Lonchura striata: one gene and its partners. The protein of the gene in region 4 interacts with the protein of the main gene of each other region in a biochemical or structural test. Links are inferred from orthologs where the notes say so. Each region holds a gene or a part of one and is shown on either strand. Other genes may lie near its edges. The genes, in order: CHEK2, YWHAQ, CCNE1 and CDC25A.

Region 1 (7,541 bases), on a different chromosome or scaffold from region 4:
TAGAAAGTCTACAGTACTTCTCAGAAAACATTCAAGAGTTAGAAAGTCTATTTAAACACAAGTGTTGCCAAGGGACATTCATTCAAAACTGCAAGAGTCAATATGCAAAGCAGTCGCTCTATTTGTACCAAAAGTACTGGCAGATAAGGATTTCCTTCATGCAAAGGCATTTAGAGAAGAGAACTTAGGAAAAGTTCTCTTAACATTGGACTGTACAAGTCTGAGGAACAGATATGACAATACTTTTTTTTTTTACTAAATAGCACTTATATTACAGAAAGAAATTCTTCTGTTTTCCACTTGGATTTGTTTCTACTTAATTATTCACCTCCAGATTCGTCACTGACCAGCTGTTTCCAAAACAGAAAAAAATAGCTTCTCTCCCCTTTTTTCTGGATAGTTCTTTTCCTTTTCATCTGAAGGCCTCAATAGTGATATTGTAGGAAGCTGTATTCTGACAAAAAGCTCTTCCTTCTACTTTCAACAACTGAGTAAATTAATATACAAACTTTAAAAATACATTAAGAATTTAGAGATTTCATTCTCTTCTACAGAAAAAAAACCCAACCAAAACAAAACTTGGCTTTTGCAATTGGTGGTAAGTTGCAAACCCCAAAGCAAGTAGAGAGACAAAAACAAAATTCCTCTTCAAATTGTTGTAAAGAACATACTTATTCACATGTTATCGTTGGTTTTTTTTTCCTTTTTCCTATTAAAACAGCAGCTCAGTTAATACAGGTAATAATTCCAAGATACTGATAATGATAATGAAGTTAACCCTTTCTGAGGGAAGAAGGATGCTTACCTTCCCAAAGTCTTTGACATGATATATTTCTCTCTGAATTCTTTAGGAAACGTCATCTGATCATCCACAGTAAGATCAGAAAATACAAACACTGGGAAGGCAAGTGGAGATCATTTTCCTATTATTAGGTTTAAAATATTTATTATAACAAACAGCTATGTTTTGTGAGTTTTTATAATCAACAATATAACTGAGAAAATACTGCCTGCTAGAGGAAAAACTAAATATATGCTATAAATTATACCAGCTATGGGTTGGCAAGGTGATCTTATTGCTGAAAAATTACATTTTGGGACTAAATTCACAACAGTCTTTAACTAATTAATTACATTTAAAGACAAAAGGAGCAAAAATTTCAATGTCCCAGCAAAAATCAAAGAGAAGTAATAATCAAGAAGACAGCATCTTAGTGGAAAATCGAAGACAAAGAAACAGAAACACAGCCGTGTTTATTTTTAAGAGGATTTTCTATTTATTATGCAGCATCTGGTTAGGTATCAAGGGGGTTTTATTCAACTTTTCTTCAATAGTCTGTTTCCCTTGTTCCCACCATCAATATGAACAGCTACTGAAGCCCCAAAGGGTTTCAAAAACAGGAAAAAACCTATAAAAGTTTATACTCTAGTAAGTATATTTCTGATATAATGATGCATATTTCTTTAAGTTTTCTTTTTCAGGTTTTTTTCAGGGTTGACATGGATAATTTTTATGTGAGTGCTAAAACACCTCTTAATGAGATGTGCTCACAAAGCAGCTCAGCTCCCAAAAACATACTCAAATCAATGCAGAAACAACCTCTTGGTCAATACATGAAAAACCTACTAAAATTAAAGCACATTTTACCCTTATTGGTCTGTACAGACAATGCAATTTCAGAGTTGTGTGTCAGTGGAAGCCTCCTCCCTCTTCCAACGAGCTCTCTATTAACAAATGTCCCATTTGCACTGTGGTCTTCAATGTAGGCAACAAAGGAATTTTTTGGACCCATTTCCTCAAAGAGAAAAAAATGGGGAAGATGACAGTAAAGAAAAATGACTTTACAATAAAGACATGATACACTAGAAATTTACTATTGTTGACTCAAGAAATGAGACTGAGTTTATTTCATAAACCATATGAATGGGGCATTGCCAAAAGTCAGGTTAAAGGAGTCAACCCTGAAGATACTTTGATTTCTTTAGGATCTCTGCCCCAAAGTCTCAAGTGAACATTTTTAGCACTTACCCTGAAAATTCGGAAGTGCTTCTTGCTATAGTTTTGGTAGAAGCTAGTCTCAGACAATCCCAGCTTAGAAAAACTGTAATCACAGCTTCTGTCTCTCCCAAACCAGTATTCCTCATTCACACAGTCTGCAGAGGAGGGGAAGGTACAGCAGGGAGGGAAGATAATGTTGCAGGAAGTTAACAACGATGGCACTACAGGATGATTCCAAATGGTAATGAACAGTATAACAGAGACAAGATTCTTCCCATAGAATCAAGTCTGCCTTAACTCATACAAAGCATCACCCCTTGTCAAACCCTTTAATAATTTTACCCTCTTTAGTGTTGATGAACACCTCTGATGGTGTTCTTCAGTTCACCATCAACCATATAGAGACATATAACTAAATAAAATATACATTGTTTTTTAAATGAAGCGTGTAACAAAGAATATGAACGCCCCAGAATTTCTGTAAGTCTGTGGAAGCTGTGTACCCCAGAATTTCTGTAAGTCTATGGAAGTTGTGTATCTGAGAACTCAGTGTAAGCACTTGGATGTAGTATGGAATAAAACATTAGAGCAAAAAGTTCCATACCTAAATTTGCTTGTACCTAACTTGAAAATGAAAAGACACTGCTCTTCAGCAAGCTGCTCAGACCTTTTCTGAGATCCTACAAAGAAACCAAGAGATTTATTACAGCATGCACATACCACAATTGCTGAAACCTTTTCCAAGTGCAAAGAGTCGACCCCAAGGCTGAGGAACCAGCTCTTCACATTCCTGGTCCTCAGGGATGGATGGAAGCTCCTGAGTGGGAACAGTGTCCAAGGAACTGAGAGTTCCAGAACTTAAGGAAGACTGACTAGTGCTCTGTGACCCACTGGATGAACTGGTACCACTCTGTGGCTGCTGGGAACTCTGAGATTGCTGTGATTCACTTCCAGTCTCTTGAGACATGTTGGCTTCAAAGAGAATGTTAAAAAAACCACAATTACTATAGCAAAGTAAAACTAGCAAACACTCACATACTGCACTATTAATGTCCAAGTCCATTCTCAGCCTCAAAGAAGTAAAACTTCCATCCAAAGCGTGCGTGTCTGGGTTATCCGTAAATTCCCAGGAACTGTGCAAACCAGGATGGTTTCCTTTTAAAAGACAACGTGGAGCGGCCTCTGCTGGTTCTAGAGAAGCAGAACGAACCCTCATTCCCGGATTGCTACCGGGGACTTCAGCGCTCCCATTGGGTCACACAGGCATGGGCTGTGCTCGGACAGCATCCCCGCACGGAGCAAGGGACAACGGCTGGTCCCCCAGCACAAAGAGAAAACTGAAAGGAATGAGAACTGTAAAATCATATAGGTTTTCTTTAAAGCGCCCGAGAGATTTATCACACTTGTACACAATAACTGCACAAAACCTTAACAGATTTAGACACCACAGCCAGCGGCAAGAAACAGCCGGGAAATCCATAGGCTGTGGTGCTTCCTTCTCCAATTAAATGCTGCCCCAGTCCTCCCTACAGCACAGCAGTCCAACCTTAGCACCTGTGTATCGGGTGTTTCGCTCCTTGCCATACAGTTCAATCTATGCTTTGCTACATTTCACTCCGAGCCATAAAGCCACGGCAGATCCAAGCTCCCTCCCCCGCCCCGTTTGTTACAGGTGTTGTTCCAGGGCTCCTCCCCAGGCAGGGCAGAACCACGGAAAAGACAGAGCCCATCGACTCCGAGCGCTTCCCCAGCGCTGCCAATGCCACCTGTGGCCGTGTCCCTGCGCCCACAGGGATGCTGACCCCACCTCCGACCTGTGGAGGAGCTTTCCCTCGTATCCAACCCGACCCTCAACGCTCAGACGGCGGGGCCGGGCCCCAGCGGCCCTGCCCGCCGGAGCACTGCCGCCCCGGACCGACACCGGCAGCAGCGGCCCCGCCGTGCCCATGAGCACTGCGGCCCGTGAAGCCGCGGGGAGCAGGCGGCGGCGGCGGGCCGGGGAGGAGGGCAGGGAAGGGAGCGGGGCAGGGCGGGAGCGGGGCAGGGCGGGAGCGGGACCCGAACTCACGGCTCTCGGGGCTGGCGGGGCTGGCGCCGTCGGGCCGGGGCCGCCATGCGCGCGGGGCGCGCGCCCCGAGCGCAGCCAATGAGCGGGCGGCCCGCGCGGGGGCCGGCGGGAGCGCGGCGCGATGCGGGCGGCGCTGCGGGCGCGGCTGGGCTGGGCGCGCCGGGCGCTCCGCGGGGCCGCGCTGGGCCGCGCCCCGGGGCCGCCGTGCTGGAGCTGCGGCGCCGCGCTGCCCGGCGGCGATGGGCCGCCCCGCTTCTGCCCCGGCTGCCGGGCTTTGCAGCCGCCGGCGCCGCGGCCTGACCTCTTCCGCCTGATGGACTGGTGAGTGTGGGCGGGGCGGCCGCGAGCCCGGCCGGCCGCGGCTCTCACCCGCCCTGTGTCCTGCAGCGACCGCTCCTTCCGCATCGACCCGGAGCAGCTGCAGCGGCGGTTCCGGAGCCTGCAGCGCGCCGTGCACCCCGACCGCTTCGGCCAGAGGCCGCCGGTGAGCGCCGGGCCGGGCGGGGAGCCGGGCCGGGAGGGGCTCGGTGACCGCCGGAGGAACTCGCCCTTGGCCTTCGGTGCGCGGCGGGGCCGCAGAGCCGGGTCCCCGCCTCTCCCGCTCGGGGAGTGAGGGGGCTCGCGTGTGTTTGTCTTTCGGTGCTCAGAAGAACTCTGCCCTGCCGTGCATTAGCGGACGATGAGGAGCCGCTGCGGTTGTCAGGCCTCAGCTGAGCGCTGTGCCGCAGGTCCCAGGTCCAGAGTCACACGGACTGGTGTGGGGACGCTGGCGTTCCGCATCTAACAGTGTATTTTGCCACTTGTTCTTAGCTTCCAATTATTTGCCGTCCATTTGCAGAAAGAGCAGTACTACTCTGAGCAGCACTCTTCCCTGATCAACAAGGCCTACAAGACCCTGCTGAACCCTCTGAGCCGAGGCCTCTATCTAGTAAGGTCTCCAGTAGCTATTGCAATGTTCCTGTAACTAACCCTGGGCGCTGGTAGGGATGGCACCCTCGATTCGGTCCTTAATTTGCATTCAGTCCTTCAATTTTCTCATTTGCATTGCTCTGAAGAGGATCACCAGAGATTGAAGGGAGACCAGAACCAAGTTTGTCTAAATTTTAATCAGCATATCATCTAATTTGCTACTCACCTTACAGTTATTTGTCTTTCACATCACACGTGGTGATGTTAATTTATCTTTAACATTACACGTGGTGTCTGGCCATGGCTGCACATTCAGAATTTCAGTCTGGCCCATGGCAGCCTTTTTTATGGTTTTTTTTTGGCTTTGGGTAACTGCTGATTTTTATGGTCAACTTATGTTTGGAGTTGATTTTCAGATTGACTCTATGCACTGTAGGTTTATCGAATATGAATTTGAGTATGCCCCACTAAGAGACTTAATATTAAAGAAAATAATTCCCATTGAAATAGATGTGGGAATAATTATTTTCAAATTCCCATTTCCTCTGCCAGCTGGAGCTGAGTGGAGTGGAGCCAGCACAAGAGACAGACTGTGATGGAGACTCAGCGTTCCTTATGGAAATCATGGAAATTAATGAGAAATTAGCAGAGCCCAAAAACAAGGATAACCTTGAAGAAGTTGAAAATGTAATTAAAGGTAGGTTATGACTTGGGGAGTTTGTACGGAACTAATATACTGCATCTTATGGAATACAAAAGTCTGAAAAATTTTAACTGTTTTGGTATACTTCTTGTAATGTCTTCAATTTGTGTTAGTCTGGAATTGACTCATTGCAAGAGCTTCTGCCCTGTTCCCCTTTTTCCAGTGTTGTCGTTATCTATTTATGCACCTAAACATCACATCTGTCTTGAGAACATTTGTATAACAGAACTATTCTGATGTCAAAATAAATATATATAAACAATAAAAAGGAATTTACTAAACCTTCATCGGGTTAGTCAGTTGTTCCAAAGAAAAAAATCTATCAGAATGAAGTTGAATAAAATGCTTGTCTAACCACACTAAATAATGTTATTTATAAAGGCATTGTAGTTCTTTCACCTTCTTCATCTGGCAGCCATTATATTAAGTGGTTATTCTCCTTATACAAGCAACTTTTTGTATATATTGTTGGTGATACCAAAAACATTTGGTTTACTGATACATTTAATTCTTTGCCATAACAGCTATGTGCTAAAAGCAACTACAATAACTAGAATAAAAACTGAGTAAGACAGGAGAAAATTAACTGTAGCAGGGCAAACTGATAGACCAAAAATAACTTGGATTTCTGAGAAATTAGTGACCATTGATGTGCATTGGAGTTGCTGTCAGTATACCTGTTTAAATAAGGAAATACATGTTTGAAATTATAATTAAAACATTGACAGCAGTATAATGAAAAACTTGTTTGGCTGCCAAAGGCTGAAACTAGTAATGAACTTTCTCACCACAGGCAGTCAGAATACAGTGGTATCAAATACCCTAAGTATAAAAAAAAAAGTAAATTAAATAATTTGTCTTACAGTTAAACAAGAAGAATTGACCAGAGAGGTGACTGCAGCTTTTGAAAGAGGTACCTGATTTTATGAAGTTTTTAGCTGCCATACATAACTGTCAAATGCTTAAAGCTCTACAATCTCTTACTGGCAAATATTTCCTGAGCTATGGAATAGAAACACTGCATTAACAAGGGTTCTTTGTTAGGTATTTAGAATAAGTACTTCTAAACTGACATTCCTGCTGATTTGGGAAATTCAGGAGCTCACATTAAAAGCAAAGTACAGTACAAAAGTTTCATTCATCTTGCATCTAAATAATCATTTTGGGTGGGAATGTAGATGCTAAAAAATTGTTTGTGCATCTCCCAGAATACTGGGAAGGACAGACTTCATCCTAGACATATTCTGAGGTTTCACACTTGAATTTGGGAGATGTTGTTCTGCAGTTCTGGAGCTGCAGTAGAGCAGTGAGTGCTGTTCTTTGCAGTGGAAGCCAAAGCAGCTGTGTGGCAAGTAAAGGCCTGTTCAGCATAAGGATTTGGGAACTTCCTGTGCAATAACATAACTTTATTCTACAGCCAATGGATGGGCACAAGCTTGAATCATTCCCAAGCTTCTGAAGCTGGGAAGAAACCTTTGTGGTTCTGTGCCAGGTCCAGAATGCTGCACTTTTGCCAGGGGTGAATAAACATCACAGCCCTGCTGGCTGGGCCTGCCTGTGATGAGTTATGTCCTGTTACTCTGTGCCATGAGAAGGGCTGTGTTACTTTTGTCTGTAGGTCATAAACCTAACTGAGGAGAAATTGTTTCAATATCAGTTTTGGACTTGGTACTGTCCAGACCAGCCTCCTCCTCATTTGCATGTTTCAGTTATGTCAGTTGGTCTATTTATATACCTTTTAAATAAAAACATTTGTCTTGCCAAGGATAGATCAGTACTGCAGCCACTTTACAGGAGTCATTAAAGGGTATTCATTCACAGTTCTTTTCCAAAATGTTTATTGTTATGTGTTTTGTGAAGCA
Region 2 (7,975 bases), on a different chromosome or scaffold from region 4:
AGTGAGAGCTTTATATGGAGGTCCCAAGAAGTTAGTTCTGAAGTGGGGCACTGAGTAGAGAAAGAAGAGTGACACAAATGCTGGCACTTCAACACAGGCGTCCAGTGAAACTCTTGTCAGAGGAAGTAGGAATCCTACAGAAGTATTACTTTCACAAAGGTGAAAGTCTTACAATTTCAATACACCTTTTGAAACAATTTTGTTCTTGCGGAAGGCATGGGCTCAAATGTGTTAAGGAATTAACTGATTCATAAAGCTAATAAATATGAAAATTATTTTCAAAGAAAGACAACTCACTTTGATTAAAAAAGAACAAACCTAGATGGCAGCATACAAGGAAGCATATAGGTATTTTCAGCACAGTCCAAAGAAGCATTCCCTTGTATGTGAGCCAAAACACTTAATCAAGAAGAAAATCAGTTACTTCCAAACCAGTCACCTTTAAATTCACATCTCCTAAACAAATCTAGAATAAGTTTACCTCAAAATTGTTTATTTCCTTATAGACTTGCTTCCTCCTGGTCTCACATTAGCAATACTAGACACCAGAAAAAGGTAACTAAGAGGAGCAAATCAACCACTGAAGATGATCTGCCCACAGAATTACTATTGCATTATGCACGTGCAGTTTTTTTCAGATATCATTCCCTGGTCATGTAAAACTGGGTCCAGCAGCCTCCACACTGCAGACACACATCTCATGAGCTCCCACTGCAGTGCACTACAGTTTTCCTACCAACAGCACCTGGAATTCTGCTGCTTCCACAGAAATGTACTTCTGTGTTTGATGCATGCTTAGGATGTCATTCTGGTCTTTACACCTTAGTTTTACATTGCTCCGTAATTACTGCAAAACCATCTCAAAGCTACCCTGAGAAGTCAGCTTGCATCTAACAAAGACAATTTCTACATGTCACTTTCTCCCCTTCAATATAGATGTCTAAGTTTGAAAAGTTAAATTTATGTTAAAGCATTCATCAAAATGTCTCTTGAAGACCCCTTTAGAGTATTTCTCTTCATCAGGAAGTAAACAAAATGCATACATGGCTTCAATGTTTGTAGCAAGTTATTAGCTGATCTAAATAAAGGGCTTTCCACATTTTCAGTTTATCTTATGAATATGTTTACTAACCACAGCACAGAGGCTGTATCTCTGCAATTACCTGGTGAAATACTCCATATGGATCTCTCCACCCAAAAACGTACCTCATAGACACTCAAAATTAACTATCTCAAATACCTCTACAAATATAGCGTCAACAGCATAGTGCAGCTGATCCTCCTCATTGCAGTGACCCACGTAAGGGTTGCAGAAGTTACGGTACTGACCTCACCTACCCCAGCACAACACTGCATGATATGCCCCAAGCAAGTTCCCAATGCTTCCTCCAGTACAGCAGCACACTTAAACACTGTATTTTTTTACCTTAAACAAAATATAAGAAAAAACAAAGTCCTGACTTACCAGCACCGTGGTGCAGATGGACCTGAGCTCAGATTCCACCTTCTCCCGATAGTCCTTGATAAGCTGCATCTTCTTGTCACTGGTGTCTGTCTTCTGCTCGATGCTGGAGATGACCCTCCAGGCCGAGCGCCGCCCCCCCACCACGTTCTTGTAGGCCACGGAGAGCAGGTTGCGCTCCTCGTTGGACAGCTCGGCACCTTGCTCCGTTACTGCCTTCATGCAGGTGGCCATGTCATCGTAGCGCTCGGCTTGCTCAGCCAGCTTGGCTTTCTGGATCAACTCGGTCTTATCCATGGTGGCTGGCAGTGGGACAAGAGCAGTGCAGTAGCAGAAGAAGCTGGAGATGTCACACTATCAGGACGAGAATGCACCTCAAAACCTGACAGAAAGAAGACAGCAACCATGATGCCAGGATAAACACCACCAAACACGATCCTGCAGCACCCACTGCAACCCAGCAAAAACGAGAATTACTTTGAGCCTTGCCGTCCCTTCCCCATCTCCAGGTGCTCCTCCTGGACAGACGGACTGCAACATCCTGCCTTTCCATGCAAGGCTACGGGGACGCGCCCCAAGGGTCCACCCCTCGGGAAACCACGACCTAGAAACCCAGGCGGAGAAGTCGCACTCGGTCGGTGCTATACAAGGGACGGCAGCCAGCCGCCCAAGCAGTGGCAACAGCTGTTTTTCCATCAGAAAAAAGTCATCATCCCGCTTTTCCTTCGTGCCCTACGTGAGCATATTAATATGCCCCGTAACTCGTGGAATGATTCCTGGTTACCACCCCGCCTAGGGCCCTCGCCCAAATCCCTGCCTCCGTGTGCTACCAGTCCTGCGGGCGAGCACCGGAGGCAGGCGGGCATGAATGCCAGGACTGGCGGGAACAAATACATAATAAAAGCAGCAAGACGAGCTCGGCGCCGGAGAACACAGCAGGGGTTAAACCCCTCCAGGACCCGCCTCCCTGGGGGCGAGCGGGGCCGGGGCCGCGAGGCCGGCGAGGGGGCCCTGGGCGCTTCTCCTTCCCGCGGCGGGGCGCGGTGGACCCGGGCCTCCCTGTCGGCCTCGGCGGCCGCCGATCCGGACCCCGGCGCGGCGGGGGCCCCGCGCTGCCGGCGGGGAGCGCGGCGGCTCCCGGTACACGGCGGCGGGTGCGGTCTCGGGCTCAGCAGCCGCATCTCCTGCGCCGGCGGGGGGCGCGGGGGCGGCCGGCGGAGTCCCCGTGGCGACGGGGCGGGAAGAGGAAGCGGCGGCGGGTGCGAAATGGCGGCGCTGGATGCACCTCCCGCTCCCCGGGGCCGCCGAGCTCTCCACGCCGCGATCACAAAATGGAGGACGCGGCGGGAGGAAGCAGCGGAGCGGGGCCCATCCCGACGCCGGCCGCGACCCCGCGCTCACCTGGGTCCGCCGGGCTGTGGGGCCGGGCCGCACCCGGTCGGTGCCGCGCTCGGGGCTGTGGCGGAGAGAAAGAGCCGCTCCCGTCTCGGCCGAGCCAGCGCTGAAGGGCGTTGGCGCGCGCACAAACCCGCTGCGCGGCCCGCGCCCACGCGGCCAATCGCGGCCCGGCCTGCGCGCCCGGCCCCGCCCCCCCGCGCGCCGCCGGCCAATCAGAGAGGAGCGCGCCGCCGCGGGGGCGAGCGCGGGCAGGGCGCGAGCTCGGCTGGGCCCGTGGGCTGCGGCTGGGGCCACGGGGTTTCCTCCAATGAGATCCAGGGTGGGGTGACGTCACTGTCGCCATGGTGACGCCGCTACACCCCCCTTCGCCCCCCCCCGCCGCCGCTCCCCCCGCTCGGCACCCGGGACCGGGAAGGGGAAGGGAGCGGGGATGGGGGAGGCGGCGGGAGGGCCCCGGCCGGGGCGGTGCCCCTGCCGGCGGCGGGGCGGGAGCGGGGGGCGAGGCGGTGCCCGCGGCCGCACCACGGCGGCTGTTGTTCCGCCCGCGGGCGGCCGCGCCCTCGGGCCGCCGCTCCCCGCCGCGCCGGCGGCAGCTCCCGCAGGAGCGGGCGGCGAGCCCGGCCCTGCCCGGCCGGCCCCGCGGCGGCTCGGGCGCGGCAGGGCCGGGAGCGGCCGTGCGGTCCGTCCGTCCGGAGCGGGCCGGGCCGAGTCCGGGCGCTGCCGCCGCCGCCGGGCGCCGCGGGCCGGCGGGGCCCAGGACGGGCACTGCGGGGCTTCGTGTTCCCGAGTCCGTGTTCCCGCAGCCCCACGTGGCTGAAGATAGCATTTCCCACAAGCTCTCAGTATATTTGCTTGTTTTCATCCTCTTGATTTCACCTTAATTCTCTAGAGGTCAGCCCGTGCTATGACATACAGTAGTGGCATGTTACCCACCCGTGTCTGGATAAAGGTAAGGCACCTACGGCCACATGTAGGTCCAGAACGTTGGCTGAGTAGATGCATGACTTGTGTGCACTCACGCTGACTGAGCCTCAGAGGATGTGCTAAGGACACGGTGGGTTTGTGTTGTTGGTATTGCCGTACAAAACAGGTCAAATGCATCTGGTGAATCAGGGCTCAGGCGAGGTCAGGTCCTCCAATGTCTGCAGTACCAGGTCTGTGTGTCAAGAGATGACATTTCTCACCTTTCTTTTCAGCATCACCAAATATAGTCATACTGAGGAATTTCAACATCCAGATGGGATGAGGAATTCTCTGAATCAATCCCAGGATGTTACTGTCTCAACTTATAAAGCTTTTGGTATGTGTTTGGACTAGTACTAGGACTATGTGTATGGAAATTTGAGCTATACTATGAACAAGACACTTTTCTTTGTCATTTGAGTTTGGGAAACATTGATTTATTAAAAAAAAATAGAACTAATGATAAAAATATTTTCAAATTTAATGAAACTGAGAAACCACTCTGGATCTCCCTCGGAAGTTACCTCTTGGCAACTTGCTATAGTTTTAGGATGCCCATTTATTCTTGTTAGTAGGATATGTTTGCAATTACATTAGTCCCTTATAATTATCTTCATTTACATGAAGTAAAGACCAAAGCTGACCAATAGTGTAACAAAACCTTTTTTATTAACACCATGTCTTTATCAACTAACCATTCCACTTTTAAGGCACAGGTGAGTGTGTTTTATTTGAGGAAAGACACTGACCTGATTGAGGCTACTTCCTTCACTGCTTCACCTCAAAGAAAAGGGGAAGATATTGAGAATTACCCTCATAACATTTAGTTCCTGTCTCTCTTCCACCTATTGAGAGGGTGCATTAAGAAATACAGAACTAAGTCAAGAGTTGGGAAGTACTAAGCAGAGCAGTTTGCACAGAGCAGTGTGATGGATGCAGACTGAATTCCATGTGTGATGCAGAGTCTGATGTATGTGTGCATAGCAGCTGTGTGGCCTGTGTGTGTCTGGCTTCAAACCCCCTCTGTGCTCCTTGCTTTTCAGGCTTGGGTCTTGTGGGCTAACATGCCATAAGATTGCCCAGCAATGTAGATTTTAATCATACAGCCATAAGCTTATTTCCCCAGAAGAATCCTATTGCTGATTAGGAATGTTGTCCTTTGGGGAGCTTTTCAGAGAAGGGACTTGAAGGATATGTTGTGTTTAGATTAGAAAAATGAAGAGGAGATTTTATATTTTCTCAAAAGAGTAAATGGCATGGATGTAGAATTGTTTTTTAAATTGAAGACAAATGTGTGTAAAATGGTCAGTAATGAATTTAGACTGTGACTTAGAAGATTTGGAATTTTCAGAGCAATGAGGCCATGAGACAGTTTCCCTGTGCTGAGGGCAGGAAGCCCATTCGCTTAGAAAGCAGAGTCTGATGAGTTTATAAAAGTGCTTATGTGATTGCACATAAGCAGTTGCCTGGGATAGCAGGAGAGTAAGCTCCAGAAGCTTTCCAAATTTGTGTTTCTTTTATTGCTTATTACATATTCTTATACATGCTTAGTCCATGTGTACTTTAATGTACAGTTTACTGCATAACATTATCCTTTATTGAATTAAAAAACCTAATTTCCTGTAGAGCATTTCAGGAGTGCTATAATCTTACTGACCATTAAGGACTTTACCCTTGTCACCACTATGAAATGGCTGGCCTTATTCTGTCTTGGGTGCAGGAAATTAAAAATATGAACACTTCTGGTTACCTATATGAAGAAATCTAAGCTTAATTTCCCAGGTGGTAAATATCGTATCAAAGACTTTCATTTCCAGGGTGGTAGATGCTTTATGCTACTTTGCATGTAGAGAAAGTCCACCTCCCACTGACTTCAGATGCACCTACTCACATTCAGCATCTTAGCAGCTCACACCACAAATTACTCAACTGGGGTGTGGGAGAAAAATAAAGAATATATATAATGCAAATTCCTCAGACTTACATGTGAACTTTACAACAGAGTTAGAAGACAGTTTTCTAGAGCCTCTGTTATTTGCTATAAGACTTTTCTTGCTTTTTCTCAGCAGAAACAACCCCAATCAAATGCTTTCCATCTCTACAGCAAAGGAGGTTGAGATGGTACAGTCAGGAACTTCCTTCCTGCTGTCTGTACAACAGGTACACAACAGCTCAAAGTGGCATCTCACAAAGCAAACATACAGCACTGTGAATGAAGCTAAACAAGCAAAGAACCCCCAAAAGCAGACTTCTGTCACGGGATTTACCTAGAATACCACTGAACAACAGTGTGAGTGAGCCTTTTGGATACGCAGCATGGTCCTGAACTATGCAAAACAGTCCTGTCATGAGTAACAGTAGAAAAACTTACTCATTTTGTGTCCTGTCTTGAGTGGGATGGAGATCCTGTACAATTAGTCTCGTGTCTGTTCACTTAATGGCAAGAGAACATATTTTATGTTTATTAAGGCCCTGTGTTCTGGTGGTTAAGGTCTCTTTTGCTCCCATACTCTTCCTGTAATCTTCTCCTTATTATCAGCCCCCTAATTTACATCCCATCTCATCCCCTTCTGATTCCTGTCTTCTGCTCAACTCCTGTCTGTACACTTGTTCTCCTGCTGTCATTCTTTCTGTATCTGTACCCTCTGCTCTTCCTTTGTTCCAACTTTTACTAAAACTTTGGGGGACAGAAGAAGACTTGCTTAGGGGGCCTAGACATTTAGTAGTCCTTTATGAGAGCTGGAGTTTTAAGGAAATTCTGCAGGTAAATTTTAATATGTCATCTGAGGGTATTAAAATTGAGTTTTTTCTTTATGTTTTCCATGTTTGGTTAGTTTTCCATGAAACCAGCATAAGATTTAACTTCCATTTGCCCAACTTCTTGAAGAATTTAAAGGTGCCACTTGGTTGCAGGTGTTGGAATTTTTTGATAAGCAAATTGTAATAAAGTGTGTCATCCTGGACAAAACTGGAATTCTCTCTGATTTTCTCTGTGAGAAATAGCTAAACCATTCTAGCTAAAACATGAAAAACATTTTAAGTGTGTTCATATAGACTGATGTGTATTTAAGCCTTTGGAGAGGAACTGAACCAGTGGCCATGACTCTTCTAGATAAAACTTAAATTTACTTAAATTTGTTTATCTTGCACTTGGTTGGGGGACTTAGGAATGAAAGGATAAGATCTCTTGTTATCCTTGTATTTTTTTCTCATATCTAAAAAGTGCTAGAGCGTAGCATGAGTGCTCTTACATTAAAAATAGAAAGCCATTCATGTAAGAGGCTAAAGCATCATCAGAGTTCAGTTAAGTGACAAATAAATGTGAGTCAGTGGGATCAAGCTCTTTAAAAACTAGCCTCATTCCATATTCTGTCTGTTCTGTGCTGTGAGGAGGCCACAGGACTTCTTAAATTTTTGAAAATACTTGCATGGCTTGCTCATTGCTGGTGTAAACTAATTGCTCCAGAGAACAAGCCTCTGAAGGTGTTGATGAATGTGGAGCTATTGCTGGGTGCTGTTTTATGCAAACAGTTTTCTTCTGCTGGGAGGAGAGGAATCAAGGAGTACTTGGGTTAGGATGATGACTGTCAGTGTGGGAGGGTGGTACTGAACCTCAGTTTTGCTGCTGAGTGCCATTTTTCTGGTTTAAGTGGCTTCAAGATAAGTGTATCTCCATGCTGGGAGCAGTTTGGTCATTGCTTGTAAAGGATGGTATTGATTAATATTGATACCTGCTGCAAGGTAAATGTTGCTGTAGTCTGATGTGCTGAGGCAGCTACTGATCATGGTTGATAGGAGTGTCTCAGCTTTTGTCTGACACTCTCTTCCCTCCTACCATTTCAGTAACTGCTGTTAGATTCCATGCCTCTTTTTGGGAGGTGCAGTATCTATAACATTGTTGAACATGACTGGGTTTCTCTGTATTTCCTTCTGTAGCATGGAGAGTGCAATAGGCTCTAGGGAACAGAGTCAAGCCTGTTACCTGGGTGAGCCATCTCCCTACTTCAGAGAGCTTTCCTTTCATCCTGATGGGCCTGTGAGGGAGGGAAGGAGGATGCTGGCTGAACAGAACCATTCCCTTTTTTGTGCTGTTGGCATTAAAGTGCAGGTTTGTCTGTTTTGGTCCTAAGCAGGTCCAATGAATCTCTTGTG
Region 3 (7,476 bases), on a different chromosome or scaffold from region 4:
TGGAGGTGATCATGCAACTTGTATCACAATTACACAGATTATTCTAATCTAGTTAGATGAATTTTGTTTTACATGGAGCCTCACAAGTGTATTCATCCCCACAAAGCAGCCAGAATTAGTATGAGAATTGCTAGCAGAATTACAGCAGTGCCAGTTCTCCAAAATCAAACACAGAATTTATACAATATTCTGCTGTCACAGACCTGATGATATAGCCACCCTTTCATCACATAAAGGGTAACGGCATCCTAATTAAGAACTGAGGCCTTATGTTCCACAGAAGCAAACTAATGAATTGACTATGAAGATGTCATAAAGTGGGATGTGACTCTGATATTTTGCCTTGTGGATAAGCTAGTGTCAGTAAACAATTTATTTAATGCAGAAGTCATGTGGTATAGGCTGCAGTGGATTTATAGCTGCTTGCATTTTAGAACTGTCGTGTCTCCACAGAATAACTGTCGCCCTGGCTATCATTCCAGCCTGCTATACTGCTGCTGGAACCGTAAACATATTCTCATTAGTGGTCCATGGCAATTTATATCAGAGAATAGCTTGTGTCACACCACAGACTGAAGAGCTGCCACTGTGCAGCCAAATGTTAGCTTTTTTAACCAGATCTGGAACAATCTGGCTACTTTGTCACAACAAAAATACCTGATCTCTGTAGGGAAAGATATAGGCATGATATTATTTATTGTTTATAGAATGAAAGGGTCAAATTCTACCAGCATACTATAATTACCTTGAAAAATTCCCAAGAAAATATTTTTGATGTGTACTACCTATATTATCTAAGTTTTAGTTTACCTATCCATACTGAAGTAACACTAAATGGCTATCAAGCCAAGAGTACAAACAAGGAGACAAAACTGGAAGTCTTTATCTGCTTTGAAAACTGAAGGTCAACATATGCAAAAGATACTTCAAGTTTCCTTCCACTGTCTTTCTGGAAGACAGTAAAACTGGGTCCCCATTGAGATTTTCTAAGAAATACCTTATTATTATGCAATAAACATGCACGAGAAGGCCTTGCTCAGTTTAAACAGAATGAATCTTCTGGTGAAGGAGAAAGTTGCAGTGAAGGACAGGCAGCTCTTCCTTGTCAGAAGTGAGAAATTAGTTTAATATACTGTGCAAAAGAAAGACAGAAGGGAAGGAGAGATCCCCTCATTAAATGCTCACCATTTGAGCCCTGCTTAATATGTTGACTGATAACTAGTGTACGCAGTTGCAACAAGCAGAGGCCATTCCAAACAATGATGCCCATCTGTTATGGAAGCACTTCAGTCTTAGAACTTCCAGCTGCCACTTTGGGTTAGATGAGCCACATTCTGCATTGCCTCACCTACCAAATGAGGACAGGCAGCACACCCTGAGCACGACTTCCACAACTTCACCATCACCCTGTGTGTGCAGTGACAGGCTGGAGTGACAGTGACTGAGCAGGAGTGCACGTGTTCAGGGGAAAAAGGAGGGGAATGAACCTATTCCAGGACACAGGCTACTCAAGGTACAAAAGCATCATGCTTTCAACATCACACAGCATCCAACAGAGATCCCAAAAGCATCTGCTCTTTCAAGACTATGGAAAGCACACAAATGGAACTAGAGGACACCAGTAAAGTGAGTTTTGACTTTTTAAGTTGATTCATTCTACATGTCTTGCTGAGAAAGTTGGCAATGGTCACTATCAACCTCCACCGCAGGACTAATTTTCACACGTAGAGCAACTTTATAGCAATATTCCTTTGCTCTGCAGAGAAACAAAGCCTGTTTTACTATACCATGAGTATCTAGTACACACTTCCAGGTTCTAACCAAGAACTCCTTACTTAGCCTGTCTAATAATTACCCTTGTCAACAGGAAAAAGGGGACACTTTCCTCTTTCCCAGATGACAAAGAAGTAGAGACACAGCTCCAAAGAGAACCACTTCAAGAGATGATTCTGTCTGCTTGCTTAAGGAGCACAGGTACAAGGTGCATAAGCACATGACTGTACTTTTGCACCTCATGCAGAATAAGTCCAAAGGCTTGACAGGTGCACCTTTGCAACCCCAGGACAGGTGAATACACTTCAGCATTAACATGATGCCTCAGACCAAGACAGGCCTTATATCTTACAAAGGCTTTAAAACTGTATTGAAATATGAACTGTGTTGTTCTGCACACTCCATCATCAACCAGGGCCAACAGTCCCTCAACTGCTATGCAGCATGTAGCAGAAGCAGACCTGTTTCACCACACTGCCATAAAAAATGAGGTACTGCAAAGTAAGTGCAGGGTTAAGCAAGACTACAATATTTACATATAAAGCAAATTCAATTACCTGTTTTTCACACGGCTTTTTTCTAGTCATCTCCATTTTGGCAATTTCTTCATCAGGATCCTGTAAGAACTACAAGAAGCGACACATGATTTCCGGAGCACAGGCGGCGGGACAAGCAGCTGTTGGCAGCTGTGACACAGGCCGGGTCCCGCAGGAGCACAGCCCCGCGGCCCACCCGGCCCGGCCCGGCCCACCGCGTGGGGCCCGCACCCAACAAAAGGCGCCGAGGGCGCGGGGCCGGGCCCGCACTCACCGTGGCCACATCGGCTTTCCTCTTGCGGGCTCGCATGGCGGACTCCGTGCCCGCGTCGGCAGGAGCCTTGTCGTGCGCGCAGTCGCTGCGGAGAGAGGGGAAGCTGAGCGAGCGGCGGCCGCGGACGGCTCGGGGTGCCCGGCCTGCAGGGCCCCGCGCAGGGCGGCCCGGGCACTCACCTCTCCCGGCGCATGGCACCCGCCCGGGCCGGCCGCAGCGCCGCGCCGAACGGGGCCGAGCGGGCCGCAGCCCCCCCACAAAGGCCGGCAGAGGCGCGCAACGGGCGGCCGGACCGGCCCCACCGGCTCCCCCCGCCCCGCGGCCGCCCACCGCCCCCCGCCCGCCCGCGCTGCCGCTCACTCACCGCCGCGCCGGCCCTTGCCGCCCGGGAGCGGGCGGTCGGCGGGTGCCGGGCCGGTGGGGCAGGGCGGGTTCCGCCGGGCGCTGCTGCCTCACGGCGCGGCCGCTCCCGTCCGTGCGCACGGCGCGGGCCGCGCCCGGCGGGACATTTAAACGCGCGGCGGCGGCGCGGGGCCGCCTCCCGGCCGCGCACGTGGCCCCGCCGGGCCGGGGCGGGGCCGGCGGGGCGCGGGAGACGCGCGGGGTCCCGCGCGCGGCAGGGGCGGGGCCGGGGCGGGGCCGGGGCGGGGCCGGGGGCGGGTCCGGGGCGGGGCCCTGGCGCGGAAGCGGCGGGAGCGGCGCAGGCACGTGGGACCGCGCCGGGCCGGGCCGAACCGAGCCGAGGATCCTGTCCCGGTCCCTGTCCCGGTCCCTGTCCCGGCCCGGGCTGCGGGAGGCGGGGCGGCCTCCATGGCTTGCCCGGCCTGGCCCCGCCGACGCCCGCCTCCCCTCCCCGCAGGCCGTGCAGCGGCCCGGGCTGTCCGGGCGGCTCACGGCGGCGGTGGTCCGGATGGTGCACGTGGGAGCGCTGCCAGGTAAGCGGCGGGCGGGCGGCACGGCCAGCGGGACCCGGGCCGGGACCGAGTCGCCGGCGTCACCCCTCATCCCGGCTGCGGTCCCCCTGGAAGGATGTCCCTTCACCGCAGCCACGGGCCCCTCGTGAAGCGCCCTACGTTTGAGCGCTCCCCGTTTCTGAGGTAAAAACGGCGGGAAGCAGCTCCACACAGGGACCTGGCTGATGAAACAGGGGTTCGGGCTCGGCCAGCTCTGTGTCAAGAAGCAAGGATCAGGGAGGTGCTCAGATGGGCACAGGGATGGGATGGAGGCTGGCTAGAGATCTCTCATGCCCTTAGAGGCAGTGGGAAGCTCAGACAACACGCGGGATCTGCTCCAGCCTGGCCTCCTCGCCCACCTTTCCGGGAGTTCAGGGTGGGCAGAGCTGGTCAGGACAGCCCACCTTGCCCTGGACAGGCTGATGCCCAGAGCTCAGCGTGCCCCAGGTTTTCCCAGAAGCAGCCCCAGGTGGGACGGCCAGCTCCCCCTGTGCTGGGAAATCAGGCCAGCCAACAGAGCTTGCACAGGGCTCAGCTCAGTCCCCATTGCACACTCCCACTGCCTGGCCTTAGGAGCCCAAATATCAGAAGAGACTTTGGTCTTAAGGCAAATTCACTGAACTCCAGCAAAATCTGTTTGTGTGTATTTCTGCCATGAAGATCAGAGACAATCAATTTTGCAGATTAAGAACAGCTTTAACTGTTTTTTAACTCACTGATGCTTGGCATAGGTGTTCTGTGCTGACATAGAGGTCAGTCGTGCCCATGGGTTGTATTGTCTGGAGCAGCACTAATGCAGGATTAATTACAAGTATGTGAATAGCAAGCTAAGAGCAGACCTAGTGCAATAGGGATTATAGCAGGCATTCCTCAAGTTTGTGAATTAAATTGAGGAGCTGAATGGGTACAGCAGCTCTGCCAAGTTCAGCTAAGGAAAGAAAGATCACTAAGGCATGTCATAAGGAGATAGGGCAGCCTTTGAACAAATTTGTCCTGTATGTCCCTGTTTCAGTGTGCAATCCCCATGGATGACCTACCCAAAGCTGTTACTGTCCATGGGTTTGGTTTGTGCATGCCCTGGGCTGAGCAGCATTATTCTTGCAGGAACACCAGGAAGTTCTCTTCCATTGACCCAGATTAATGATCAATCACGTCAGGAGGCAGAAGTTTACAAGGATGTTGGAGTTGTAAGTTTTGGATTCTTTCTTTACGTGATGACCATTACACAAAACCACTTGTGCATAGCCAGAATTTTAAATTGAGCCTACAGCTCAAGATCAAAAGCATCTTGAAACTCATAGATTAGAGATGCTTAAATCCATGTTGTTTATTTCAACATAGGAAGTAGGCCTTCTAGATTACAAAAAAAAAAAAAAAAACAACAAAAACAAACCAACCTAAGATAAGTATCACTTGCACTCAAAACAATTGAAAAAGCTTAGATTCAAATTGTACAGTTCAAGTTGTTTGAGTTGGATGAATCAAGTCAATTTAAGGAGTTAAATAAAGTGGCCAGAAATATGGGCTGTTGCTGGCATTCAAGGTCTCTGGATGTAGAATGCTTCATCAATCTAGTCTGACAAGCAACTGTATTTTTAGCTCTGTCCAATCCTCTGGTTTCCTGAGGTCATGGAGCTATGCCATGTGCACAGCTGATACACTGCATGCATACCTTAGGAACCTGGAGGGTGCAGAATCACCCCACAGCTGTATTTGTAACAAAACAGCACAGAGAATTCAGGATCTAAAGAAAAAAAAAGGCTCAGGCCCTTTTCTGTCCCCTCTAAGCCTCTCTCCAGGCCCCTGGCAGCGAACATGCCTGCTTTGCATGTCCAGAAGAGCAGGCCCAAAAGGCCATTCTCAGCCAGAGGCAAGAAGAGACTGCTGTCAGAATTGCTGTTGGACTTAAAGTGGTGTAGTAATCTTCATAGGTCAGTAGATTTTAACAGGGTGTATGTCCTTTTGAAAGGTCAGATATGTTTTAAATGTTTCATTACACCTTGTCTTGGGTTGTTGATGTGCTTTTTCTTTGACCTGCCCACAGCATTATGAGCATTCTCTGGTGGTGTCCAAGGTTTTAAAATGTATTCAGTGAACAAACTGTCACTGCTACAAGCTGCTACTTTCAGAAAAACTTTATTAACAAATCGGTTGAAACATTTTTAATCTATAAATTAGAATGAGACTGTACAGACAGAACAAAATTGAATACAAGAGCTTAGTTTAAAGAGTAGAAGAACAAGGTCAAAATGCAACACAAATCACAGAAGGTAGATTATGGGCACAGCCCTGGTAAGGCTATACTAGGAAAGAATGCTGAGAATAGAATCATTGAAAGGATAAACAGCCCTGGGGTAAAATGATGCTAACCTGGTGGGCTTCAGTACCTGTGAACCAGATGAGCATGTGTGAGATGTCCACCCAGTTAGAACAGTCCCTGACTGCAAGCTGAACAGGACAAGGAAGTTTTCTTCCTTTTCATTCCTCCTGAAAGAACAAGTGTGCAGTAACTCTGTATTCTGTACTGTGCCTTTATATTTTTTTGTTGCGGTATCTCCATGGGGTATAACGTGTTTTGATCACATCAGAAGAGTGGCAAACACTAATCTCTGCCTTCCTGTGCCAGAGGAAGTGCTTGCACAGATAATCTATAACTCATAAAGCCATTGCTCCACATTGCAGTGGAGCAATGTTTGCTCATTTCCTTACATAATAATTACACATTGAAACCTTCAACAGCAGGGGGAAGACACCAAATACTGCTGAAGCTGAAGGACGGAACAGAAGCAGTTACTACCACTGCTGGCATGCACAAAGCTGCTGGAGCAACTTTGAGATAAGCTTTAAAATCAGTATTACAAAAAAATTTCAATTTGGCTTTTATACTTTGTCTTTTCAACAGTTGTACTCAATTCTGCAGTTCCAGCTTTAACTGGTTTACCTTTTCTGCAAGTGCATTGCAGTCTCTGAACTTGAATATATGTTTAAACCTACCTGTCAGGAGACACATGAGGTGAATGCAGTCATTTCTCTACACATTTGGACAAATTCAGGGCTTAGAGTTATAATTAACCCATTTTCCTGTCACAGGAACATCAATATACTTCCACACCAGTCTTCATTCTAAAAGTATGACCACTGTTAGAGAATAGAACAGAACAGAGTAACAGCAATATAAGAAACAAATCCTTTATTAAGGAGATAAGTCTCAGAGATAATCAGGAGAACCTCCATAAACATCAATAGGTTGTTTAACACTTTCTGCAGTTCAATTCTTTAGTTTTTTGTGCTTTAAGAGAAATGAAAGTTTTCATGATAGATGCTTTCAGGAGCTTCCCAGCTTTTACACAGAGCTGGAAAACTCAGTAGTTTGGCAATTTACTGCCAAACTATTCTGGAATGGGAATCTCTTTGGGTTTCTTGCTCAGTATTCCAAAGGAACTGTTAAGCTGTCCATTTTTCTTGTAGAAGAAGAGCTAGAGAAAAGGTTTTTTTTCCCATGGATGTTTGTACTGACAATGTTCCCAAATGATGCCCACAGTAGCCCTTAAGAAGATATGTAACCATTTGCTGCTATTTAGATGTTTACATATCGTATCAAATAGTTCAAATTGGTGTTAACATTTAAAAATAAAGTATATGGTCTTGCTCACTCCATCTGTGTTGCACTTGGAAGTAAATCCTGGTATATTCAGAGTAAGGTGACTTGTCTGGCACATTCACAGCTTCACATAATAAATATGAAAGATTTGTGATATTAGAGCATAGTAATGAAAACAAGTGAGTGTTCAGTTAGGAAGCCATCTGTGCTCAAAATGTATATGCTTTGTACTTGTGTGTTGCTAAACAATGAAATTCCCTAGACAAGATTTTATAAGCAGCAGGCTATGAGGCATTATAATCCCTCCAATTTGTACCTGCTTTTCTTTAAGGAAGAGGC
Region 4 (7,513 bases):
GGTGGAAACAGTGATTTCCCTCAGCTGGAGCAATGAAGCACCAGAGGGAATCTACAAGTTATGGGGTGAGAGCTTATTTCATTTTCAACGATAAAACATCTCATGTGAAAAACAGGAAATCCTCCCAGGAAGTACCAGAACTGAGGGGTTTCAGATCAGATCACCAACCCGTGCCCTGGGTAACAGGAGAACACAGGACAGAGCCACTCACTGGCACAGTCTGGGTTTAAAGAGAGAAAACACAGTGAGGACTTGTTTTCACTCCCTACTGCTCACAGCCTCCAGGACAATTAAAGCAAAATTTAAAATAATAATTCAAAAAAATCTACAGCCCAAACCACGAGCTGCAGAGGTTTCCTGGGGGATTTTCCATCTGCCTCCCTCCTTCCAAGGGCATGGGAAAGAGAGGGGGCTGCAGGCAGGGCCAGTTCTCTCTCCAAACCCTGGGTGCCATGTAGGAGTGCATTGCTTTGCAATTCCTAATCAGAATTTATTAATTGAGGCAGCCCCACCTGAGTCTGTGGACTCTGAAGATGCTGATCTGTGCAATCCATTTTTGGTTCCCACGTCCTGGTCCAAATTTTCATGCTGCCTGGAAAGGAAAATTTGGGATTTGCTTTAAAAGCAAGAAACACAACACTGCAGGTAGGTACAGCACAGGTGGGCATCACCTGGAGTTCTATCAAAGCCCAGTTATCCTTCCTGGAACTGCAATCCTCTTTGGCAGACACTCCTTTAATTCAGGTTTTGCATTGATAAAATTGCTGAATTTCTAATTCAAACCCATTTTGATAAATAGTTACCTCCCAAATTTTGTTTTATCTGCTAAACCTCAGTGCTGAGAGAGAAGAAAATCATATGGAGTCCCACATATAAAAAGGAAAAGCTACCTGAGTGAGGCTCCAGCATGTGGTTAATTAAAAAAAGAATGTAGCCAGGGCTACAAAATCAAAGGGCTGAATAAATTCCAAGAGGGGCACTGCCAATGGCTTGCAGGAATCCCAGGAATCTGAAGGAAGGATGGGACCATAAGGCAGGTGGTGGCAGAAATGAGAACAGAAAATCAACAAACAAAATCCAGGAGGGTCATTGAGACCTGAGTGGGCCAGGACAAAACAGGAGCCACACAAGGGAGGAACTGTGGGAATAATGGGATTAGAGGAGTTAAGAGAGCAGGAAAAGGGAGCAGCTGGGGTTTAGGGAAGGGGTGCAGCTGCAGAGCACAGAGCAGGAACAGGGCAGGCAGGAGGACATGGAAGGGACACAAAGCTTTTTGTGGGAGAGAGGGAAAGCCAGGGAAGGGCTCAGGAGGGAGGGGAATGCCCAGAGCAGAACCTGGGCAGGGGGAAGGTGTCCCAGAGCATGGATCTGTGTGGGATGGGGGCAGGAGGGCAGAACAGATGGGAGGCAGCAGCCAAAGGGGGCCCTAAGGGACTCCTGGAGGTTTGTGGGGTGGTGTCAGCGGTCAGGAGCACACAGAATCACAGGATATGACTCTATGCAGCTGCTTCTATTGAGAGCTCTGGGAATCAGGGGTACAGACCCAAATCTGACTCCCACATGGCTTTCGAGCTGAACGTATTTTATATTCTATCCTTACAGAACTTACATATTAATTATTAATTAAACTTATATTGTTCTATTGTATACATTGACCTTATTCAACCATGAGTTTCTCGTGATCTTTCTTAAGCTTCTGACCAGTTTCTCATGATTATTCCTACGATCAAACAGTAATTATATTTAATTACTAAACAATCATCACATCTAACAATTATATCACTTATCACGTACCAGCTACACAGGTGCAGTTCCAGCAAGGCACAAGGCCTACACGTTCCCAGGGTATTTTCCCAGGGCCTACTAAGCTTCATTTTCCTTCTAACCCTAAATCCCCGTGATTTTAAAACCCTTTCACGATCAGCGGGAGGGTTAAAACCGAGGCCTCGTGGGTGGGCGCGGGCAGAAGAAACAGCCCCGGGAGGCCTCGTTTTTGGGGGAAGGGCTGGGGGAAGAGGGGCTGGAGGTGTGGGGAGGGCGCCTGGAAGGAGAGGAAGCGGGATGAGCCCGCAGTGCCGGGCGGGGAGAAAGGGAATAAAGAGAACCCTCCATTGGGGGTGGGGGGAAAGGGAATAAAGAGAACCCTCCATTGGGGGTGGGGGGAAAGGAAAAGGAGGGATCCACGAGGCTGTTTTTTGGGGGGCTAGGGCAGATGAGCACCCCGAGGCTTTTCCTTGGGAAGGAGGGGGGACAGGGAAGGGAAGGAGTTCCTGAGAGCTGGGAATAGCTGGGGAAGGTGAGGGGGGGGTTAAAAGACGTGCCTGGGGCTTTGGGGCTTGCGAGGGGCATAAAGCCATCAAAGGGGTTTGGGGTTTTTATCCGTGTAATTCCCTAAGGGTTCCCAGTGTAAAATACGCGTTTTTCACAATAGCGCGGGAGGGAATTACGGGGGTGGAGGGAAGGCGAGGAAAAGGACTCCTGGAGGCCTGGGGGGGGGTTTATACAAGGGGGAGCCTCCCTAGGCCCGGCAGCGGGAAGAAAGCGTTTTGGAGAGGGACAAAGTGCCCGGAGCAGAGCAGGAAGGAGCTCCCTTGGCACGGCAGGAAGCAGCGCGGGACGAGCCCTCCAAACCTCGCTTTTTCCTGTGGGAGAGGGGGGGTCACCACAGAGGGGAGAAAAAGGAGGCGCCCGGGCTCTGGTGGGGCCCGCGCCCCGACTCACCCGCGCCCCAGCTGCTCCATGGTGAGGCGGAGATCCGAGACAGGCGAGAGCTCATCCTGAAACAGCGCCTTCACCACGGCGGGCGAGGCGGGGGAGGCCGGCGAGAGCAGCAGGAGGCGGCGGCGGCGGTGCGGAGCGCTCGGGGTGGGCTCCATCGCAGCGGGACCGGGGATGCAGCGCAGCCCTGCCGCCCCGTCCCGTCAGCGCGGCCGCCGCGGCGTTTTGACCCCAACCGGTACCCGTCGCCCGCTCTGAAGCTGGCGCCAAACCGCGGCTCGGCCAATCAGCGCGCGGGGCCCCGCGGGGGGCGGGTTGTTTTTTTTCAAACCTCCCCTCCCACCGCGCGCGCTCCGGCCAGTAGGAACGGCGGCGCCGCGGCCAGGCCCCGCCCACGGCGGTTGCTTGGCGTCGCTCTGGACCAATAGGAACGCGAGGAAATCGGAGTTGGGGGGGAGTGCGCGCCAGCGCGGAGGGACTACATTTCCCAGTATTCCTAGCAGGCGCGCCGCGTTATCGCTGTCTGCGTTGCATGCTGGGTAATGTAGTTCCCGTCTCATAGCGGCGCCTCTTTGCCGCCATGTTTCCGGCCGTCTCCCTTTAGCCTGGGCATGAGGGGAAAATGGGGAACGTGAAGGAAAAAAGGCACAAACTCAGCAGATAACGCCGCCTCGCTGAGACAAAGAGCCCTTCCCACATGGTTTCTCATCAAATGAGCTCTCCCTGAGAACAAAAGCCACTTTGTGAGGCGTTTGGTGAGCGGCTGGGGAAGTAAGGCACTGCACATCCCTGCAACACCAGGATGGGGTTCACGGACAGAGGAGCAGGAAAAGGGAGACTTGACAGTACTCCACATAAACTCTTTAGGACACTCAGCTTCTCCCCAGCTGAGCGTTCGCAGATCCGTGCTGTCCAGCCCCTGGCAAATCCTCTGCCATGTCTCTGGTGGTTCCAGAGGCTGCTGTGTCCAGCTGATCGCTTTGGATGCAGGGGATCTCCAGGACACGACCCCTGCGCCCTGCCACCCCCAGTCACACAGTGCTGCTGGTTCCTGGATTAGACAGTGGGGTGTTTGATCCTTCCCTGAGCATGCCGGATCTCAGAGATTGCCATCACACCCCGGCTCCTGCTGCTCTTCCAGGCACCCTCACTCCTGCTATCCCTCCCTGAACATTTTCCTTTTTACAAGACTTTTTTCAGCAGTTACCACCACCAAACAGCATTGGCTTCCTAAGCCAGGAATTGTGGGTTCTGTTCCATCTAGGTTGCCAGAACTGATGCCTTGTGAAGGCTGACCCAGAACAGAGGCTAGACAGAGTTAAAGAATAAAGTAGGTATTTAGTAAAAGGCCTTAATGGCTGCATCTTGGGCAGCGCAAGAGCCCAGCCAGGGCTACACCCAAAATGAACCAAAATTGTCACAAAATGCATGACCAGTCATGAGGCTTCTCACTTTTATAAGTTTTGGTCCATTTGCATATTGGAGTTAATTGTCCAATTCCAGCTTCAGGGTTATGAAGTCCTACCCTTCTTCTTTTTCTCTCTTCAATTCACTGTTGTTTATACTTTTGGGGCCTGGACCTTCTAAGGGTTATCACTGGTCTCAGGCTGGAAAAGGATTGTTTTCTCTACCAAGCCTGTTAAGAGAACTTGCTAACACCTAACACAAAGCTCAGAGCTACACACCAAAGCAGCACATAATCCAAAAAATATGAAAGGCATCATTATCAGCTCATGGCACCATTACCAGCTCAAGGCATCATTATCAGCTCGTGGCTCCAGCCTGGCTTCCTGAGTGTGGGGTGGCTGCATTGTCCAGCACAGCACAGCACAGCTGCCACCAGTCCTGCAGTGCTGCCAAAGGCTGGCATGGACAATCAGAGCCTCTCCCCTCCCTCTTCCCGATTATTCTGTGGCCTCAGTGCCCACAGGGAGAAGACACCATCACCATGGGATCTAGCCAGGATACCAGCACGCAGACACCCCCAGGCAGGACAGCACTTCTTTAATGTTCCAAAGGACTCAGCGGGAGGAGATGCAGAAAACTGCAGAGAGGATCCAGCCCAGGCAGAGCTGCAGTGAGGCTGCAGTGTGACATTCCCACAGCTCCTCCCTGCTCAGCTAGCCAAGGGCACGGGCAGCCATCCCACCCTATCAGTCACACACCCGGATGTGGCTACCTTGGGAGCAGACCCAAAAATACGGGAAGACTTTCTCAGTGAAGGTGGTCTCAAACTGCAAGATCTGCGTCATGTCCTTTGCGTCGTAGAAGGTCACTTGGCCCGCTTCGTAGTCCAGGTGGAGCCTGATTTTCTGAGGCGCCTTCCGAAGTGCCAGCGGGTAAGGGGACACACGTTCTGCTCTGTAGTAGCCTGTCCAGTCCAGCTGCAGGGCCCAGACCTTCTCAGATCTGAGCAGGTTGAGCGACTCCTTCCTCGGCACAGACTCCAGGGCCACCCCCAGGGCCCAGGAGCCCTTATTGCAGACCTCCACCTCCCAGTAATGCTTCCCAGACGTGAAGCCCTGGGAGCCCAGGACACTGAGGTTGCCCGTGAACCTCTTGGGAATGTCAGGGGGGTTACGTTTTCCGCTGAACCGCACAGTTTTGCGGTCGTCCGAGAGGATCAGGTCAAGATTCGCCGTCTCTTGGTCCAGTGTCACCTGCTCTAATGGATGACAGAAACATCAATCTGTGCCTGCTGAGAGGAGAACCAGCAGCTCTCCTCCAGCCTGCACCACGGGGCTGGGATGTGTCCTGGGAGCACAACGGGCACTCCTGCAGCCCCCTCGGGTGGCATGGGACACAGGACCCTTACTGTCCCCACTTACTGGCACCTGAGGGTGGAAAGATGCTCCCTGAGGCAGGACTGAGCCAGGCAGTGTCCCCACATGCAGGGGACAGACACGATGGGCTTTGTTAAATCTGCTGCCAGATCTGCTGGATATTGCAGCCTGTGGGGAGCAGTGCATCCCGCGGGTGTGAGCGGGCACTGCTGCAAGGCAGGAGGGGCCAGGCCAGTCCCTGCTCTGTGACAAGGGCTCACCCAGCCCGGAGCCCTGCTCTGCCGAGCAAGCGGGTAAACTTGCTTCCCATCCACCAGGGATGTTCTGCTGCCATCCCGTGGCCATCCCACAAGGCCACACTGCTGTCACTGTGCAGCGTCACCATCCCAGACACTCTGCTAAACCCACTCCTCCGGGGACTGCAGGGGGGAAACTGAGGCACCACTCTCCTTTTGGGATGTGCTCAAGTGCATCATCCCAAAAACTGAGAGTGGAGAGCGGCCTTAGCACAAATGCTGCCAGCCAGACCTCAGCCCAGCAATGCTCCATCATGCGGGTCCCGAGGACCTGCAAAAGCACTTCTGATCATGCCTAAATGCCAGCTCAAAAAACATGTACAGCCCTTCTGCTTAACTGGGCACAGCCTGACACGGCCTCCTGCTGTCCTGGCCCTCGCCTGGCGTCACAGGACAGCATCCCTGGCGCTGCCTGGCACAAGGACAGACCTGGATTTTTACAGCAGGCCTAGTCAAAACAACAGGACTCAGTTCTAGACAGAAGCTGGGTTTAGATGTGGTGTGAGCCTATCTCTGCACCAAGGACATGAGGATACTCATGCTCCCTCAGTTTCCCCCCTCAGCTCCAGAAACTTACCCCTTTTTCCCCTGTCCATCTCGCTCCGCAGGCTCACTGGAAGGAGGAAAGGAAGAGGCATGAGTGTCTCTCTTCCTGCTCCCCATCAAGACAGCAAGCCAGATGTGGAGCCCCAGGCTCCAGCAAAGCCCATCCCGGGATGGTGCCCACCTGGAGCAGCCGTTTTGCTCCTGAGTCCCAGGCAGAGGCACCAGGCAGTGAGGATTTCCCACTGCCAGCCAAGCCCAGGGGAAGCACAGCACGGAGCCAGCAGGGCTTTACCTTTGAATTTGTCCATCATGTTCACGATCCACTGGCTCTTCCTAGTGAGGCTCCCAACGCTCTGATGCAGCTCTGAGGAAACTGGCTCTGGGATTGGGGCCTTGGCTGCCTCACAGCTGAGGGGAACAGGGAGAGGAGCTCAGAGCCCAGCCACCAGCCAGGGCCAGGAGGGAAACGGAATTCCCCGCAGCCACAGATCCCTGCTATCAGCACAGGGATATAACCCCATCTTTAGGAGGGGTGCAATGGCCTCTGGTTCCTGGTAACGTCACATGAAATCCCAAATACCCAGCAGGGCAAACCACCTCCTTCCCGGCTCCTGCAGCGCTCCCAAACCTTTGCCCAAAGGAGCTGCACAGGAGCAGAGGGACACCGAGCCTGTTTCGTACCTGTGCAGGATTCTGCCAGCGTCCTGCAAGAGAGAGAAAACATAGGTGAGCTGTGGCACTGCCGAGGGACAGGGAGCTGCAGTGGCTGCCCAGCTGTGTGAAGCAGGCTAAGGGGGCTGGAGCTCACCCCACCCCTCATTCCAACCCTCCCTTCCCTCAGGGTCCTGACCCAAAGCGGGCAAAGCACAGTGTCACTGCACAGTGTCACAGCACGGTGCCACAGTGTCACAGCACGGTGTCCCCATGTGGCCCAGAGCCACAGCAGGATGCAGAGGGTGCCAGGTAGGTGTCCCCAGCCCCACCAGGGCTCACAGTGCCCAGGGGGGTGTCCTAGGGTGACGTTATGGTGTTTGTATCTCCAATCGTGTGTTCTGGTTATGTTTGATATTATGTTCTGTGCTTTCAGAACTGACTCTGAAAGTGAAGGTTTGTTTTGCCTTGTTATCAGCCAGCTCACCTCCCCCCATGGTCTGCTGTCTAGAAAAGGCT

The links.
Region 1: of the proteins of CDC25A (region 4) and CHEK2, one has a biochemical effect on the other in vitro, tested with the Homo sapiens proteins (5 studies listed by BioGRID, with this or other methods). The link is inferred for Lonchura striata from reciprocal best matches to the Homo sapiens genes CDC25A and CHEK2.
Region 2: the proteins of CDC25A (region 4) and YWHAQ form a complex in vitro, tested with the Homo sapiens proteins (2 studies listed by BioGRID, with this or other methods). The link is inferred for Lonchura striata from reciprocal best matches to the Homo sapiens genes CDC25A and YWHAQ.
Region 3: the proteins of CDC25A (region 4) and CCNE1 form a complex in vitro, tested with the Homo sapiens proteins (2 studies listed by BioGRID). The link is inferred for Lonchura striata from reciprocal best matches to the Homo sapiens genes CDC25A and CCNE1.

What each region holds. Positions count from the first base shown.
Region 1 is NC_134620.1:10,023,830-10,031,370, reverse strand, and holds the start of CHEK2 (serine/threonine-protein kinase Chk2), read right to left. Parts: upstream 3,011-7,541; 5' UTR 2,967-3,010; coding exon 2,720-2,966; intron 2,155-2,719; coding exon 2,030-2,154; intron 1,797-2,029; coding exon 1,649-1,796; intron 897-1,648; coding exon 806-896; intron 1-805. Other genes in the region: iron-sulfur cluster co-chaperone protein HscB, read left to right, coding at 4,189-4,388, 4,455-4,551, 4,906-4,995, 5,529-5,673, 6,545-6,592. UniProt on the Homo sapiens protein: Serine/threonine-protein kinase which is required for checkpoint-mediated cell cycle arrest, activation of DNA repair and apoptosis in response to the presence of DNA double-strand breaks.
Region 2 is NC_134605.1:98,813,380-98,821,354, forward strand, and holds the start of YWHAQ (14-3-3 protein theta), read right to left. Parts: upstream 3,009-7,975; 5' UTR 2,864-3,008; intron 1,845-2,863; 5' UTR 1,760-1,844; coding exon 1,466-1,759; intron 1-1,465. UniProt on the Homo sapiens protein: Adapter protein implicated in the regulation of a large spectrum of both general and specialized signaling pathways. Binds to a large number of partners, usually by recognition of a phosphoserine or phosphothreonine motif.
Region 3 is NC_134615.1:9,263,099-9,270,574, forward strand, and holds the start of CCNE1 (G1/S-specific cyclin-E1), read right to left. Parts: upstream 3,010-7,476; 5' UTR 2,948-3,009; intron 2,669-2,947; 5' UTR 2,620-2,668; coding exon 2,584-2,619; intron 2,400-2,583; coding exon 2,331-2,399; intron 1-2,330. Other genes in the region: uncharacterized protein F13E9.13, mitochondrial-like, read left to right, coding at 3,494-3,518, 4,641-4,723. UniProt on the Homo sapiens protein: Essential for the control of the cell cycle at the G1/S (start) transition.
Region 4 is NC_134603.1:156,255,473-156,262,985, reverse strand, and holds the start of CDC25A (M-phase inducer phosphatase 1), read right to left. Parts: upstream 3,005-7,513; 5' UTR 2,877-3,004; coding exon 2,722-2,876; intron 593-2,721; coding exon 513-592; intron 1-512. Other genes in the region: E3 ubiquitin-protein ligase TRIM7-like, read right to left, coding at 4,872-5,383, 6,375-6,410, 6,636-6,751, 7,025-7,047. UniProt on the Homo sapiens protein: Tyrosine protein phosphatase which functions as a dosage-dependent inducer of mitotic progression. Directly dephosphorylates CDK1 and stimulates its kinase activity. Also dephosphorylates CDK2 in complex with cyclin-E, in vitro.